2 linked regions of the Drosophila melanogaster genome follow. The protein of the gene in region 1 binds, or shares a complex with, the protein of each later gene. Each region holds a gene or a part of one and is shown on either strand. Other genes may lie near its edges. A codon is read from its position in the direction of its gene.

Region 1 (7,683 bases):
TCACTCTCACATGGAGCTGAACTGGTAGTACTGGGATCGTTGACAATGGTCTCGTCCGATCTTGATCCGGCTTCCGGAAGAGATTGACCATAGCCGTATTGATTTTGGCACATCTGCCCGGGCGAACTAGATGATGACGATTCCATCTCTCTTTGTCCAGATGTCGAGTCCTGAGTCATTGGGTTAAAGGATTGCCAGCTACAAGAAGGTTGACATACTGGATCTACAATAGCAGGAAATAAAAAGATCAATAAATTTCCAAAAATATTTTAGAAATTAGAAACTCAATATTTACATTCGCTATAGTTATAGTCTCGGTAGTCCATTGTCTGACCCTTTTGTTGAACTACTTGACCCGAGGCAATGCGAAACTCTGAGCTAAGATGCATATGAGTAAGAAAATTAAATTAAAATTATTGTTAAAATAACTTAACTTACTAACGAACGCTCATTTGCTTCAGAAAACGTGTGTATTCGCTATCTGGATCTGCCTCAGAAGTAAGTTTTTCTGTCTGGGGAGTAGAATTGTATTTCGACGATGACGTGTGAACCTTTTCCTGGTCAGATTTGGGAACTTCACTTGTCTTTTGAGCGTTTAATTCTTGAACACTTTTCGACTTGAAAGTTTTGCAGACGTCATCGAAGCTTTCGATTGAATCTAGTATTTGGCGGACTTCCTGATCCTGCTCGTCGCCCAAGGAATCATTATCATTGTCATTCTTATCCGAAGTGTTCATTATGATTATAAGATGGATATCCTGGTCGAGCTTTGCGGTATGACACCACTAAGGTATCTAGCTCATGCCTAAGTAAATGCTTTGGAATTTTGCTTCCCTTAAGGAATAATAATAATTTCTTAAAGTTTATTTACACTCTTCTCATTGAATACTTTGTTTATGCTTTTATAGAACAACTTTCTCAAAATCAACTGAAATAAACGTTTTAAGGTTTAATTAAAAAAGAACACCGAACAATTTTTTGAAGCTCTATCTATCCAGTCTGCAATACAAAAGGGAAACAGCATATTTAGATGACTTGACTATATGTATTTAAGTTAACTAGATTACACTTATTTGCTTTTATATTGCTTTCTTTTTTCTTTTTAAATGTCTATTACCCGTGGTTTTAACTATTGAAATATTTGAGTGTGGACCCAATCGAAAGCAGTTTGCCAGCAACCTGTGACTCGATGGAATTTTCACCCATTTGCAGCTCCCACCTGGCTATCTCAGATCAGTTTAACATATGTGGCACTAATTTAACTAAATTAACTACAAATATGTTATCATAAACTGTCTCTCCGCCGAGCATAATTGCAGGCGCTAAGAAGGAATTTGAGTGGAAAACGAACCCGAATGAAAACTTGATCCAGGACACGCGACTGACACTATGCGAGCATTTGCATACCCTATAATTTCCCCCTTGCTTATCATCGCCAAAAATCAAGCCACACGCGAAAAAAAAGGATAGCGAAGGACCCTAATTTCCAGGTCGCTTATTGTCATGTCACGACAATTAAACAATTTCTTGTGCGCTGGTTCCAGTGCGCTTTTGAGCGATTTAAATTAAGATAGGCGGCAAATTAGCGGCCCGAAATGTTTGCATAATTATTATTTGACTGGCGAACTTATCAGGCGCCGCTGATCGCTTGCTGCCACAGATGTTACACTTTTTCCACTTCTGGGGTTAAATGGGTTTCCGGGCTTGCTAAAGGGTACACCCCCTTTGCCCTTTTCCTCTTTTTCCCTTTGACCCCGAGCCCGATGACTTGGACATTGGTGGCACAAACTGGGATCTGCGGTTAAGCGTCACCTTTGCTTTTTAACCCTTTTGGGTGGAGTGTGCCTGGCATGACACGACGGGAAAATTCTCTGTCTGCCCTTAACCAAAAATGTGTTTTCCCTTTTAAGGTGACATATTGGTTTTGACGATAGCGATCGCTAAATGTTTGCTTACTCCGCCTTTTCCTGGCAGGACGGTTATCCTTTGCCATTTCATTGCCCAAAATGGAATACAAAGGCTTAATTCATAAGCGGTTATTAAAAGAGTGTATTAAACAAAATTTCATATTATTTTGACGTATTTTTTTATAAAAACTTTGGTGAAACAAATAAATATTCTTTTGAATTTATTTTAAAAACGTTTTAGTTTATTTTTAAAATATTTTAAAAACGCTTCGAATAATTTTTCAAAAACATTTTAATAGAGTTCTACACCTCCGAAATAAAAGGTAATTAAATATATATATCTCGGCAATGGTGTTGGTAAAATTCTTTATGTTTTTCTGAAAAGGGACAATAATAATCGTTCAAAGTATTTTTTAATTTTTTATAAAATTGTATTTATTTTTTGCTTGTTTGTCTTATAAAAATTTTAATTTCTTACAAATGCTATCTTTACATGTGATTAATTTCAATATTTCTTGTTTAATTTGCAATGCCAAAATTAAAATAATATGTTTTGAATTTTGCTAAAATCAATAATAATGATAAGATACATTTCAAATTTTGTTATTCTTGATTATTCGTATCAAAATTGCTTAAATGTTTGTTGTTGTTTTGTTTAATTTTTGTTAAAATGTATTCTGTTCGGCGGTTCTTGTATTCTATTTTTTGTAGACGTTTTGTATTTTCTCTCTTTGTTGTAAACATATAAAATTTGCTGTTTGCTTAAAATCTATTTTGTACAATTGAGTTGTTGTCTTTTGTTATTCTTGTTGCTGCGGTTGCATCTTTGTTTTGTTGTTGGTTCTGTATTGTAGTTCTGTAATATTAGTTTACGATTTATATTTGTAAGTAGTTGAAATGTAGTTGAAGTAGTTGAAGTAGAAAATTTGACAATTATTTGTTAGTTGAGTACGATACTTGTGGTTTTGCTCATACGTATAGACACTAATAAGGTTTATGACAATTTTACACATTTCTCTTTATGCTCTCTAAATGTTGTTAAGTATGTTTATGTATTTGAACCAACCGGGAAACCTTTGCTTGCAAAATTAAACATTTTTTCAAAACTTATATCGGAAAATTTGACATCCAAAAAAGTAACAAACAACCAAAATCACTTTAAGCAAGTCGATGACAAATTTTGAATTTTCTCTCTCTCAAAAATAGTTTAAAAATAGTTTTCTTATTTTGTTGTGGAAATATCCCATGTTTTACAAAACTCGTTCCTCCTCATGTGTCCATACCCAAAAAAGAAATCACAATGCGCTTTGATTGAGCCTGCCTTTCCCAGAAAATCCCAAAGATTTTCTCTCCACCAGGATGAAATATGGAAACCAAATTTAGTTCTCCTTGGAGGTGGCATCAGTCACGTCGTCCTCATCGTTGTTCTGACCGCCGCTGCTGATCTCGAAGGATATCTGAATGACCGTCGGTTGACGCTGGCTCGAACTGTAGCTGTAGATTCGCAGAGCGTAGCAGAAGATCTGGGCCAAAAGATCCCAGCATCCAAACTCCGACATGGTCATCGATCCCTGTTGACTTCCCAGCGGCACGGAAATATTGGCACGGAATTGTGGGCGCTGTTGCTGATGATGATGTCGCTGCTGCTGCTGCTGTTGTTGCGATTGTTGCTGCTGCTGCGATGGTGCAGCAGCTGTTGCAGTTGTCCTTGGACTCGCTGCTGTCTGCTGGCCGTTTTGCTGATAGCTTCTGGCCAACAATTGGGCCTGGTCGGGTATGAAATAGGCGATGGCCATGGCGGTATTTAATTTAATACAAAATGTGATTTTACAAAACGTATGAATCTTTAAAAAAATATATAACTTTAGTGTAGCATATATTTTTAATGTTTGATTTCAATATCGCTGAGGAATAATATATTCCATTCACTGCTTGCACTTTAAGTCTTGTAAGTCTTTATGTTTCGTATCGAGCACTTGGAAAATTTTTCTGACTCATTTGGCGGGAAAACGAACGAGGAAACTTGTCGCTTTTTGACGAACTTTCAACTGCGCTTTTCGCTTCCGCTTGTTATTCAATGTTCTCTCGTCGAGGTTTCAGAGTGGACTGACTGTAAATATCCTTGCTGCAGTCACATTTATAAAATAGCTCTCTTTGTACTTTCCTATAGGAAGCGAGTTCCTCTCTCGCAGTGAATGTCACCCTCCCAATTTCCACCACCCCCCGGGAGTTTGTGTGTATTGTGTGTGTGCTTTGTTTATGCCAACAACCAACCAATTGAACCACCAACCACAGGAACCCACACCACTGACAATGTGCCACCACCACCGCCAGTTTACCACCCCAAAGACACGGCTGCCTTTGTTACCTTTACTTCGGAACTAGAAAGGGGGTGGGAAAGTGGCTGAGAAGCGGTGAGAGACTCGGGAAATGAGAGCGGAATTGGGGAAAATCATTTCACGTAAGAGTGCTACGTCAAATAAAACGTAAGCTCTTTGGGATTTCGTTGTTCGAAGCGCGGCATCGAATTCATTTCGAATTTCAGGGGTTAACTTGGGCGTACTTGCTCTAGCTGAGTCTAGCAATTTTGAGGGGAAGTTTGGTCGTCGTATGCTCATTTCGAATTTCGAACTTGGATTTCACTACGGATGAATCAACAATTGTTTGTTATGACATTTTGGTTCGCATAGAAACTGATTTTTGGTGATTAAATGCAATTTAATCTTGCTTATTGTACCTATTATTAGTATAATTATTATTTTCAATATTCATTAATGGCAAACAAATTTATACCAGGGACCAACGAGATCTTTTCTTACATTGTATCACTTTGGGTTATTTATAGTATACTTCTTTACATACTTAATATATTTCAAAACAGCGGAGTCTCCTTCACCTAAAATCTCTTGGAACCACTAACCCGCTTTCAAGTTAAGCATCCTTCAACTCAAAAAGCTTGCACGGCAAATCTTTGATGCGAAAACCTTGCGTAATGGTCCTTGAAGATTCCCCCTATTGCAGCCTTAAACTTGACCATAACAAAGGGCACCCAAATGGATTGACCTTCAAGCTAACGCGAATCCAGCTCCCTCAAACATTATGCTGACGACAATTTCAACCTTGGAAAATGTTTGATCCCAGCTCCCCCATTTTCCGTTAGCTGCAGCTCATCCATTATGATAAGCTGTTCCCGGATAGTTGCAAAGTCAAGAAAGCAGTGGCTGTGGTAGAGGGGTATGAAGAAAGTATACTTATGCAAAACTGATTATAAGAAAAATTGAGAATAATTTTTGGGTATAATTTCATGAAAAAATAAATTTTATCAATAATGTAAATTTATTGAATTTGTTTTATATAATTTATTTACAATCATGATGAATTAAAATCTTACATATGGAATAAATCATAATAACGATTTTTTTTAATTAGACAAGTATATTGTATTATCTCCTCCTCTGTCCCAAATGTTCAATAAATGTCATTTAACACTTTAACATTCCAGAAAAGGACTTCCAGGGAGCGGAAAGCATAAAGCCAATTGAGCTTATTTCCTCCCCCTATGTAACATTTTTGCTGAGGGAGCTCCAACAAGGCCATCGCCAAGGCCAAGTCCGCCACTTGTGGGTGATGTTCCACAAGTCTCCTACCGGCAAAAGCTTTTTATTTCTCACCCAACTGGCTTCAAGGTCGTGCCGGCCGGCATTTCCACCCACATTCAGCTTTTCCTCTTCATTTTTGTGCGTGCGACCTTGACAATGAAATTCGTTTAGGGAGCACAGCTCCTCCAAAGAAAGTGTGGGTGAGCTTTTCCTGACACAGTTGACAGCACGTGGTCGTTATATTCTGGCATATATATAAATGTCAAGCTCAAGGTCGCTGGGTATCGATTTGCCGAACTTGGAGGGTCTGTATTACTTACCATAAAAGTTATGGGTTGGGGGTAACTTTGCTTATAAATGGTGTGCGGAAAATGAGGTGAAATATTTTTAAAAACAAAACAAAACAACAAAATTTTCTGTATTGATTGAAGTAATATCATTACTGCGAATTTAACTATTAACATGATTAATATCCCTATTTAGGTTTAAGTACTTAATTTTTCATCATTACCGAGAATTGATAAGCCGAACAGGCTATTTGAATTTTATATAACAAATATTGTGTAATTGTTTTTACTGGACTTAAAATGTTAAGTTTTTAATATTTTAGGCATTTTATAAAATCACTCTTTCTATTCAACATATCTCCTGAACAAATATTAGCACATTGATCAAGCTAATCCAAATGTCCTATCGATTTATGTTTTCCCACATAATTTTACGACAGATGTTAATACACCAATCCGCATTCACCTTACCCATCAGCCGTGAATCATTTTCCCCTTGCCGTAACATTATTTACACTTTGTGCTTCAGATTTTCATTTAGCAATATGCAGACACGGTAATCATAGAGAAGAAATATCATTTCAGAGGAAGTTCTTCCCTAACCCACGACATGCATGTGTCGGCAATATGTTAGCATCACTTAAACCCCAGCGAGTCCTTTTTCCAGGACACACCTAAAGAGTCCCAATCGTACGCTGTGTGTGTGTAACTACTTAAGTCTCATCATACGCGTTTTAATGCCCATCATCAGCCAATATCCAGCGGGCCATCATTATGTCTCTTCGCAAGGACCTCAACTCTCCGCCTCCACCACTCAACCCGGTTTCGCAGTCCGGTCTGTGCAATTATTTCGTGCATTGTTCAAGGATTGCTCGCAGAAATTTTCTTTTTTCACATAGTGAAAGGGCCAAAGTGTTGTCAGGGGATTTCCAGCCCCTGGACAATGGGCTTCAGAGAGAGAGAGAGAAACGGAACGGAAATGGTAACAATGCCGAGCTGCCAGTTCTGTTCTGTAAACAATTGACTGTGAACTCAGAAAAAACCAAAGCTTGTTCAAGAACAATTATAGTTTAATACACGTCCAGTTGTCACGTTACGTTATGTAAAACTCAAAACTTGTAAAGTTCAAAAGAGTGGTGCCTTACAACTAATTTTATAAATTTCTAAGCAATTAAAAAGTAAAAAGAGTTCTTAAAATATTAAAATAATATTTTAATTATACCCAATGCCACTTTTAAAATATCATATTTCTTAAGCCACACAAAACATTTATTTAAGATTTTTTTCAGTGTGTCGTTGGTTTGGCTGGGTCTGCAGGATTACGCACCGGTTTACAAGATGCGGCCAGCCCCTTAATGATTTCCACTTATGCACTGCAGACATCATCACCGCCATCAAAATCGGTCGAGGGCCGGATAAAGTGCATTGAAGGTCCACATCTAGTGGCCATTGGTGTGTCTGTGCTGCTGCTAATCTATATGTAAATTTTCGCCCAACTGCGGAGGCAGCTAACTGCCCAAAACGAAGCTGTAAATACCCTAAGATGTCGCAAAAGAACTCCCCTTCGATTCGCATCCACACATGACGTCATGCCAAGTGTTTGACAAATGGCTTAAAAGGGCTAAGACAAAAAGTCAGAGTACCAAACAGGAGTGGGAAATCGCTGACAACATACTAAAAACTTGACAAAGTGTGTTGGCAAGTGTCAGGCTCAGGACACGAGACTTGGAAAGGACCAGGACACACGTCCTTTGCATATGTGTCGGGCAAAGTGTAAGTGTGCGTAACAGATAAATAATCATGTGATATCATCTGAGGCGTTGGAGAGAACTTTTTAGCCCAGTCACCGACGCCAAAAATTAATTTCATACATTTTAAAATTTCAATTTA
Region 2 (7,373 bases), 2.3 Mb from region 1:
TCCTCCTGCAAGAGAGCGAAGAGCATGCGCCGCGCGCGTGTCAATGCACCGCATTTCCACCTCTCTCTCACTCTCTCTCACTCTGTCTGTCTGTCTCTCCTTCATTGTGGCGAGGAGGAAGGAGCAGCTGGAACTTTCACAAAGTCCACATATCAAAAAAGGTAGATTATTATGCCTTCGAATTCCGATCATTATTTTTTTAAACGAAAAAATGCTTTTAATGATACGGCTTGGCTGGCGGAGTGCCAGCTTTAAACAAATCGGCTATGCAAAAAGCTATGTATGGAAAAGAGCAAAACAAAAAACAAAATTAAGAGAACATCTCAAAGTGCAGGCTCTGTCCCGTACTCGGTCCCGTACTAGCCTGATTCAGGTTAAACCAAAGACACTAGAAGTGTCAATCTAATGATGATGAATTAATGATGAATCCGTCCTTATACCAAAAACTAAAGAACAAGATTTACAACTTCAATTGCAATGCCTTATTTTGAGTCAATTTCTTCTATGTCTTCTAAAATGTCAGCTTTTTGATTCGCTTTTAGGTTATAGAAAATAGGGTTCCCTGGGGCGGGGTTCTAATATATATATTTTGCACACAGTACAAGGCTGAGTAATTGCTACAGTAAATATTACGCAATTTTATGTACATAAGTTAGTATATGACATGATAAAATGGCTGATAAAAACTAATAAATGCGAAGAAACCACTAGGGATTCTTAAAGTATTTGTTGAATATATTTATATTATGAAATTTACAAACATATTTCTTGAATTGACGTTTTTGCCTCGAACAAAGTATTTGCAATGAACTATCAATAAGTAAAATATTTTTAAACGAAGTCCCAAGCTTTTCTGATTAAGCCCCTTTGAGTTATGAATATATATTTGGCAGGGGAAATGCCAACACGTTCTGATACTGTATAAACAAAGATTGCCAAGTTTGAATCATTTATGGAAAACAGCCCGGCTACAGTGCGCGACATGTGTATATGGCGTCCGCAAGCAAACGGGTTGAACTTTTCAAATTTTATAAATACACGCTGCTAAATTTACCACGAAAATGTCGCGACGCATTTGAGAAATTTGCCTATAAATGCGAAGTCTAGACGACTTTGACATGTTGCAAGTCGACACTGTTTGCAGGCGGTCTTCTGCTGTAAATTAAGCGAAAATGTGGCGTCTATACAAGCATTCTATTTGCGGATGCTGCCAGAGGCACTTCGGTTTTCATTTCATATTCAGCATCAAAAGATCACTCCGCTGACCACGCAGAGTTTGGGTCTCGAGTCGCCGGACAAGTTTTAGTTGAAAAATCCGCGGGCTTGGAGCTAAACGGCCTTGCAAGGCCTTTTAAAGTTGTTGCAACCGCCCTGTTCTTGTTGGTGCTGCTTTTAATGCACAGTTAAAATAGCCTACAGCGTTTTAACTTAATGTGTTGACAGCTGTTTAAGCTATTTCAAACAACTTGAGTCACTTTGTTGCTTTAATAATGAAACCATGCCAGCATTAACAAGTATGACTCAATAGGGATATACCTTAATTTTATCTATATATGCATGTATAATATTCATTTAAGATAAATATTAAGGAGCGTGTCAAAAGATTGCTGCAACTTTGTAATTCCTAAGTTCCTCATATTACATTTCAAAAGCTATACTCTACAGTTGATTCTGTTTATGTTATATTTTGTGGCTTTTTATTAACAGCCAACTGCAGCGGAGCTGAAAACCTGTTTGCCATTTTTGTATTCTCTTCATTCATTTGTGCGGCGATTGGCAAAAGGTGTCATAACAACGCGTTGGGCACGATTCGATTAGACTAGCCACTACCCATTGCTTATAACATGTGCTGCCTGTCGGTCCCTTTTCTAGCCACCATGTATTTACCTGCTCCATTCAGGGCCAAAAAAAAAGGAAGGAAAGAAAGCACCTGGATCGACAATTGTGGACGTGTGCCGGCAGCTGCAGCAACTAGGTAATAACCGATCAGAGGATCGCCGAAAGCGGAGCCAGCAACATCTGCTCCTGGGGCAAGGGTCCTCATCCTTATTGTGCACGCTTCCAGTGAAAGGATCGCGCGGCACATGACGACGCCAGCTGCCGTCGATCCTTTGTCAGGATATTTTCGGTGTGTGGATGTGTGGAACAATCCAATAATGAGCCTACCGAACTGAGGTGTCCCGCGGATCTTTTGCTGTCAAATGATGGAGCCTCAAAAAGGATGTATGTATATTGTATATTTAAGTTTATGGTGTAGTGGATAAATACTCAAAAATAATTTTATTCATCATTTTCAGGGGAACACCAAGTGAACTCATCAGTGAACTACTATTTGAAGTAAGGAATTTGAGAGGTTATGACATTACTCAAGTGACCTAATTTCCTGTGAAACCATCTAGTCACCGTTACTAGGTATAGATTAGACTTGCCAGTTGACAGTTGTTTTAAACAAATATCTCACGAATGAATGACGCAAAACAGAATGCAGCGAGGATATATGAATTTCGTTCTAGTAAAATAAGTGAGGTAAGCAACTGATGCTATAGGCAAAACCCCATCAATCATAGGAACCTACGCAGCGCTGTAAATGGAAATGACATTGAGCGGTAATTAGAAATTGGAAAATTCTAGCTAGTAAACGCGTTCCACGAATGGGTGGGTTTTGCAGCATGGGGGTGGTGTTGATTTCATCATGAATGAAATGCGATGCGAATGAGCTCAGCATCGGCGGAGATAAAAGGTACAATCTTAGTTAATATCCAGGCAGAAACATGTGCGACAGACAGATTTCATTCCAACCCATCCCTCAAAATGACAAGCTAGCACAAGAGCGAATAAGATAAGACGGGATCCTGACATATGCCTAAGTATGTATGTACATGTGTATCTCGGCCTCCAGATTGTTTTAGAAATCACTAGAAAACGCCAGAGAGCGGAGAGCGAGATAGGGAGAAAGGGGGAGAGAGAGAGAGTGAGAGAGGGAGGGATAATGGTCGTGTCCCTGTTTATGTGGGGGTAAGGACATGAATGAAAAAAGGCGTGTTGGAGAGAGAAAGGTAGACAGGCGGCGCCTATTTGTATGCAGCATAATTCAAGTATAGTAAAGTAAACCCATTTTGTTTTTTCTATAAACCGCGGGAAGATTGAACACACATATTTATATTTACTTACCAGAGACATTTTAAACAGTGATAACGTATCAGTTTATCATTGGTTTTTTTAATGCCTTTTTTCGGCCACCAAATCGTTAATTGTTTTCGTTCACCTCTTATCGCACCACGATAAGATTATAAAATCACTTAAAATAAGTTTTGCTGTATAAAATGTTTACACAACTGTGCTCACGTCGACTGGTGGGTTTGAATGCCGTGCAACGACTACGCCAAAGCTATGTGCCTATATAGCTCACTTTCCTATAGGTATTTGTTTTGTCGGTTCTGCGTTCTCGTTTTGTTTTGTTTTGCTTGGCTTTCTAGTGAGCGAGAGGGTGCTGGCGGGGGAAAGAGAGAGAACTAGCGGGGCGGAACGGTCGAAATAGTTTTTTGCCGCCCAAGCGATGCGCAATTATTTTTGGGGGTGGGATGTCCGCACTTTCGTTGGCTATTCCAGCTGTGCGTCTCTAAACTGGAATGTTTTTTTTAAAACTTTTTTAAGTTTAATTAATAACTATTTTGCAAGCTATTTATATTTCTGAATATATTAAAATTTCAAAAACAAACAACTGTCAGCACACGAAGTCGTAGTTTTAAATAAATGCTAAATGGGGTCACACTGTTCAAGGTGCTTGGCTCGCTGATGTATCGATACGCGCTAAAAAGATATCGATAAGATGCATCAGTGGGATCAAGTCTACGCTAGGCCGTCAGCAGCGTTTTCAACCAACATTTATCGAATAAAACGGTTTGGAAATCGAAACGGTAGTTCAGGTATAACACATATACAAAATTGAGCCACTTATAGAACAAGGGTCTGTTACCCGGTCCAGTAACACCGCGAAAACTGAGCTTATTTCGATTCATCAGAATTAGAGCCCCTAACATTTTGTCTTGATTTGACAAAAAAATTAGTGGAACAAACAGAAGAACCTTCGGCATACCGAGAACTCCCAGTAAAAACAAAATACTTTGATCAGTTTGGAAATTTATTTTAACATCAATTGTTTGTTGTTTCGGTTTAATAAACTTTCGAGAATTCTTAGTATCAAACCAGGAATAAATACAAACAATTGAGGGAAGCCACAATTAGAGAAGTTGACCAAAAACAGCATTTTTTGAGTTTGAAAGTAAATTGATTCTGTTGTATCCTCTTTTTCCTTTTTGTGTTTTATATAGATAAAATTAGAAACGGTATTAATATATTTAAAAAGTTGTTTGAAAATTGCATTGTATGTGTTTTTGAGGCACATCAAATATATCGATAGATATGGCCGCATCTATTTTTGAACTAAATGTAAAGAATTGGATGCAAAAAGAACGCATTTCTCCCGAATGGAGTAATAAGACGAACAATTACGAATACCCTAAAATAATATTGATAGTTTAATTAACATCGTTAAAAATATCGGTCCATAACAGCACTGCTAAGTGTTAACATAACTAAGACGCCATCTACAATTTTGTGAGCGGCGTTAGTGTGACCAGGCGAAAAGAGTGCTAAATATACCGCGCATTGCCCTCCGATTCACATCGTCAAAAAATTTTGGTCTGTGAACTTCGTGCGGATGAAATTCGATTTGAACGCCACCGAAAATATGCAAAATAAAGTGAAATACCAGTGCCTCGCGGACGAGGAGCGCTTCAGCGGAGAGTCCTGCAGCCATTAAAGCCCAGAGAGCACTGAAAGTTCTGGGAATTTCGCGGGAAAGGTGCGTTTTTCGCTTGGTCTTTCGGTGTGTGTGAAAAGTTTCTACTGCAATCCATTTTTCTCTACGTGCGTGTGCGGCATACGTGTGTATGTGTTGCGTCTGTGTGCGAGGCGAGTGAATGTGTGTGTGAGTGTGGAGTGGAATGTAAAATGTGGGGCGATGTAAAAATGCCTTTACATAAGTGCACTCGCATTTGCAAGGATTTTGTGCAATACCGCCATCCTGCCAAATTACATAAAATCATCGCATTTCAGTGCGTGAAAAAATACGCGGTTTCCATTTTTGTTCTATTTACTCGCGACGTCAGCGTCGCGGCTGTTGAATTTATGTCAAATTGGTAACACACACACATGCAGGCTCAGCCATTCGCGCTCTCCGTATGCAAGCCCTAACTGCATGAGTGTGTGTGAGCGGCAGAGAGAGAGAGAGAGCGCGAAAGGGAGAATGATAAACAAAGTGTAAAAAAAACAAGCGGCTGCTAAAATGCCCGCAAGTGTTTTTAATTGATATGAAAATGTGTTTGCTTAACACTATGTAGCCCAGCAGCTGGTGGCTCTAAATAAAGCATTTGCAAAATATTAATTTCTCCTATCGTATTTCTTAGTTTTTGCCCCATCCTCTTGTGTAATTTCCATTGAATGCAACAACAAAGGTGCGCGTTAAACAACAACAAATAGCATTGTTTTGCGGGAGAGCGAGTGTGAGAGAGAGAGAGCGTTCCTGATTGCGACATTGTGTGAGTGAGCGGAGAAGAAAACGCCAAGAAGTTGGCTGATAAAGCAAACGCACACGCACGCACGCACGCGCACACACACGCAAAGAAAATAGAAAAATCGTAAAATAATAATAATCAGCAAGCAGGAAAAGAAGAAGCAGCAGCAGCAGCAGTACAAACAGCAAAAGTGTAGTCGTGATCGAAAATCGAAAGTGTGAAGCATTTTCTATAAATAGTGCAAAATCAAAACCCAATTCCCATTGCAAACAAAAGCGCAATAAAGCAATTACGATAGAGCAATAGCGATACAACAGCGCTACATACAAAATCTACACACATCTGGAGCAGTCGAGCGATCTCACAGAGCGCGTGCTCTGCAGCAAGTAGCAGGATTATCTGAAGGAGCAGATCGTTCGTCTGGCCAAGAAGGATCTGCCAAGATGTCCTCGCTGGACGCACGCAACAACTCGGCGATGATGAAGCGCGCCGAGCAGCTGAAGCGCTGGGAGGAGTCGGACACAAACCGCGCCGCCCCCACCCCCCGGCACGAGCACGGCCGCAGGATCAAGTTCAGCTCCGGCTGTGTCTTCCTCGCCGCCTGCCTTTCCGGCGACAAGGACGAGGTCGTCCAGCTGCTCGACCAGGGCGCCGACATCAACACCGCCAACGTCGATGGACTCACCGCCCTGCACCAGGTAAGTCTGCCAGTAATCATCATTCTTTCACACTTAGGAATAGTCCTTATTGGGTGGTAGAAAATGTAACGTTTGAATGGTTATACTTTGCTCAACTAGTCAATTTGTAAATAAATTTAAATTAAAGAACATACAATAAAATAAAATATATTTTAAAGCTATCTTTAAAGATATAGTACACAGATAGAAAACATAAAACATTCGCTAGAAGAAAAGAAAAAGACAACAGTCTTTTAGTAGGTATTGATAATTCCCACTTAAGTAATCGTTTGCAAACAGACATTATTTTCTTGTTTGGGTAGAAGTGGCGAGTATTAGCAATTCTATCAAGGGTTGCATTTGCAGCAGGTGCAATTTCCAGTTAATTAAATGTGAATATTCACACTGCATCCCCTATCACCAGGGATTGATTTCCCACTTTAGAAGGCGGCTAGGCGTTGCGTCAGTCTGCTGCAACTGCGATCACGCGACTGGGCGAGGGGGTGGTGGGTGAATTGGGGGCGGGGTTGGGGTGGAACGGGCGCAGGGAGCTGCAGTTTCGACACTGTTGCGTTGCGTCCAACTGTGGTGCTGACGTGAATCGCACTGTGGGTCGAATTCCATGGGGTCATGGGATCAAATTATTAAAATGCTACAAGAATATCTAGCAGCAAACGAAAAGTATTACCTTATTGTTTCGTAAGGATTAACCATTTAATTTTTATGTATACTTCATTTAACTTAAGAGCGTTTAAAGTAAAACAACAAATTAAAATATAAAGAACAAATTACTAAATTGATTAATTTTACAAGATTTTCCATCGAAGAAGATAAAGAACACAGCATTATGACACATTGACGTTATTATTTAGGAATTTTTATAGGATATTCAATCAAGGTCAAGAATGATCCATCCTGTTTAGACCCACTGTGCAGCGCCGTTCGCTAGACGCTCGACCATTATTGTTGTTGGGTATTTCGTGCTCTTTCGCCGCCGCAACAATAATTCGAATTTCGAATATTAACAAATACAGCAAATACATGGCTAATGCAAGCCGACGATTTACAAGTCGAATGGCCAGAACGGCATAGCCAACAACAACAGCCACAAGCAAAAGGC

Evidence for each region. The genes of interacting proteins can lie anywhere in the genome.
Region 2: the proteins of grim (region 1) and Diap1 are in contact, whole or in part, in a crystal structure (PDB 1JD5), measured with the Drosophila melanogaster proteins. Residues at the interface, in NP_524137.2 of Drosophila melanogaster: Ala2 (codon at 3,700), Ile3 (codon at 3,697), Ala4 (codon at 3,694), Tyr5 (codon at 3,691), Phe6 (codon at 3,688), Ile7 (codon at 3,685), Pro8 (codon at 3,682); in NP_001261916.1 of Drosophila melanogaster: Thr255, Arg260, Val261, Arg262, Cys266, Gly267, Gly268, Gly269, Leu270, Met271, Asp272, Trp273, Asn274, Asp277, Gln282, Trp286, Leu287, Glu314.

The regions. Positions count from the first base shown.
Region 1 is NT_037436.4:18,300,397-18,308,079, forward strand, and holds grim (grim), read right to left. Parts: upstream 4,022-7,683; 5' UTR 3,704-4,021; coding exon 3,287-3,703; 3' UTR 2,323-3,286; downstream 1-2,322. Other genes in the region: CG13700 (uncharacterized protein), read right to left, coding at 1-223, 296-378, 439-737. UniProt on the Drosophila melanogaster protein: Activator of apoptosis, independent of rpr and hid, that acts on the effector Dredd.
Region 2 is NT_037436.4:16,047,287-16,054,659, forward strand, and holds the start of Diap1 (Death-associated inhibitor of apoptosis 1), read right to left. Parts: upstream 3,749-7,373; 5' UTR 3,172-3,748; intron 3,018-3,171; exon of another isoform or gene 2,298-3,017; intron 2,224-2,297; exon of another isoform or gene 1,949-2,223; intron 1-1,948. Other genes in the region: Mbs (myosin binding subunit), read left to right, coding at 6,020-6,274. UniProt on the Drosophila melanogaster protein: Anti-apoptotic protein which functions as a caspase regulator, using its E3 ubiquitin-protein ligase activity to smother caspase activity. Binds, ubiquitinates and inactivates initiator caspase Dronc, and effector caspases Drice and Dcp-1.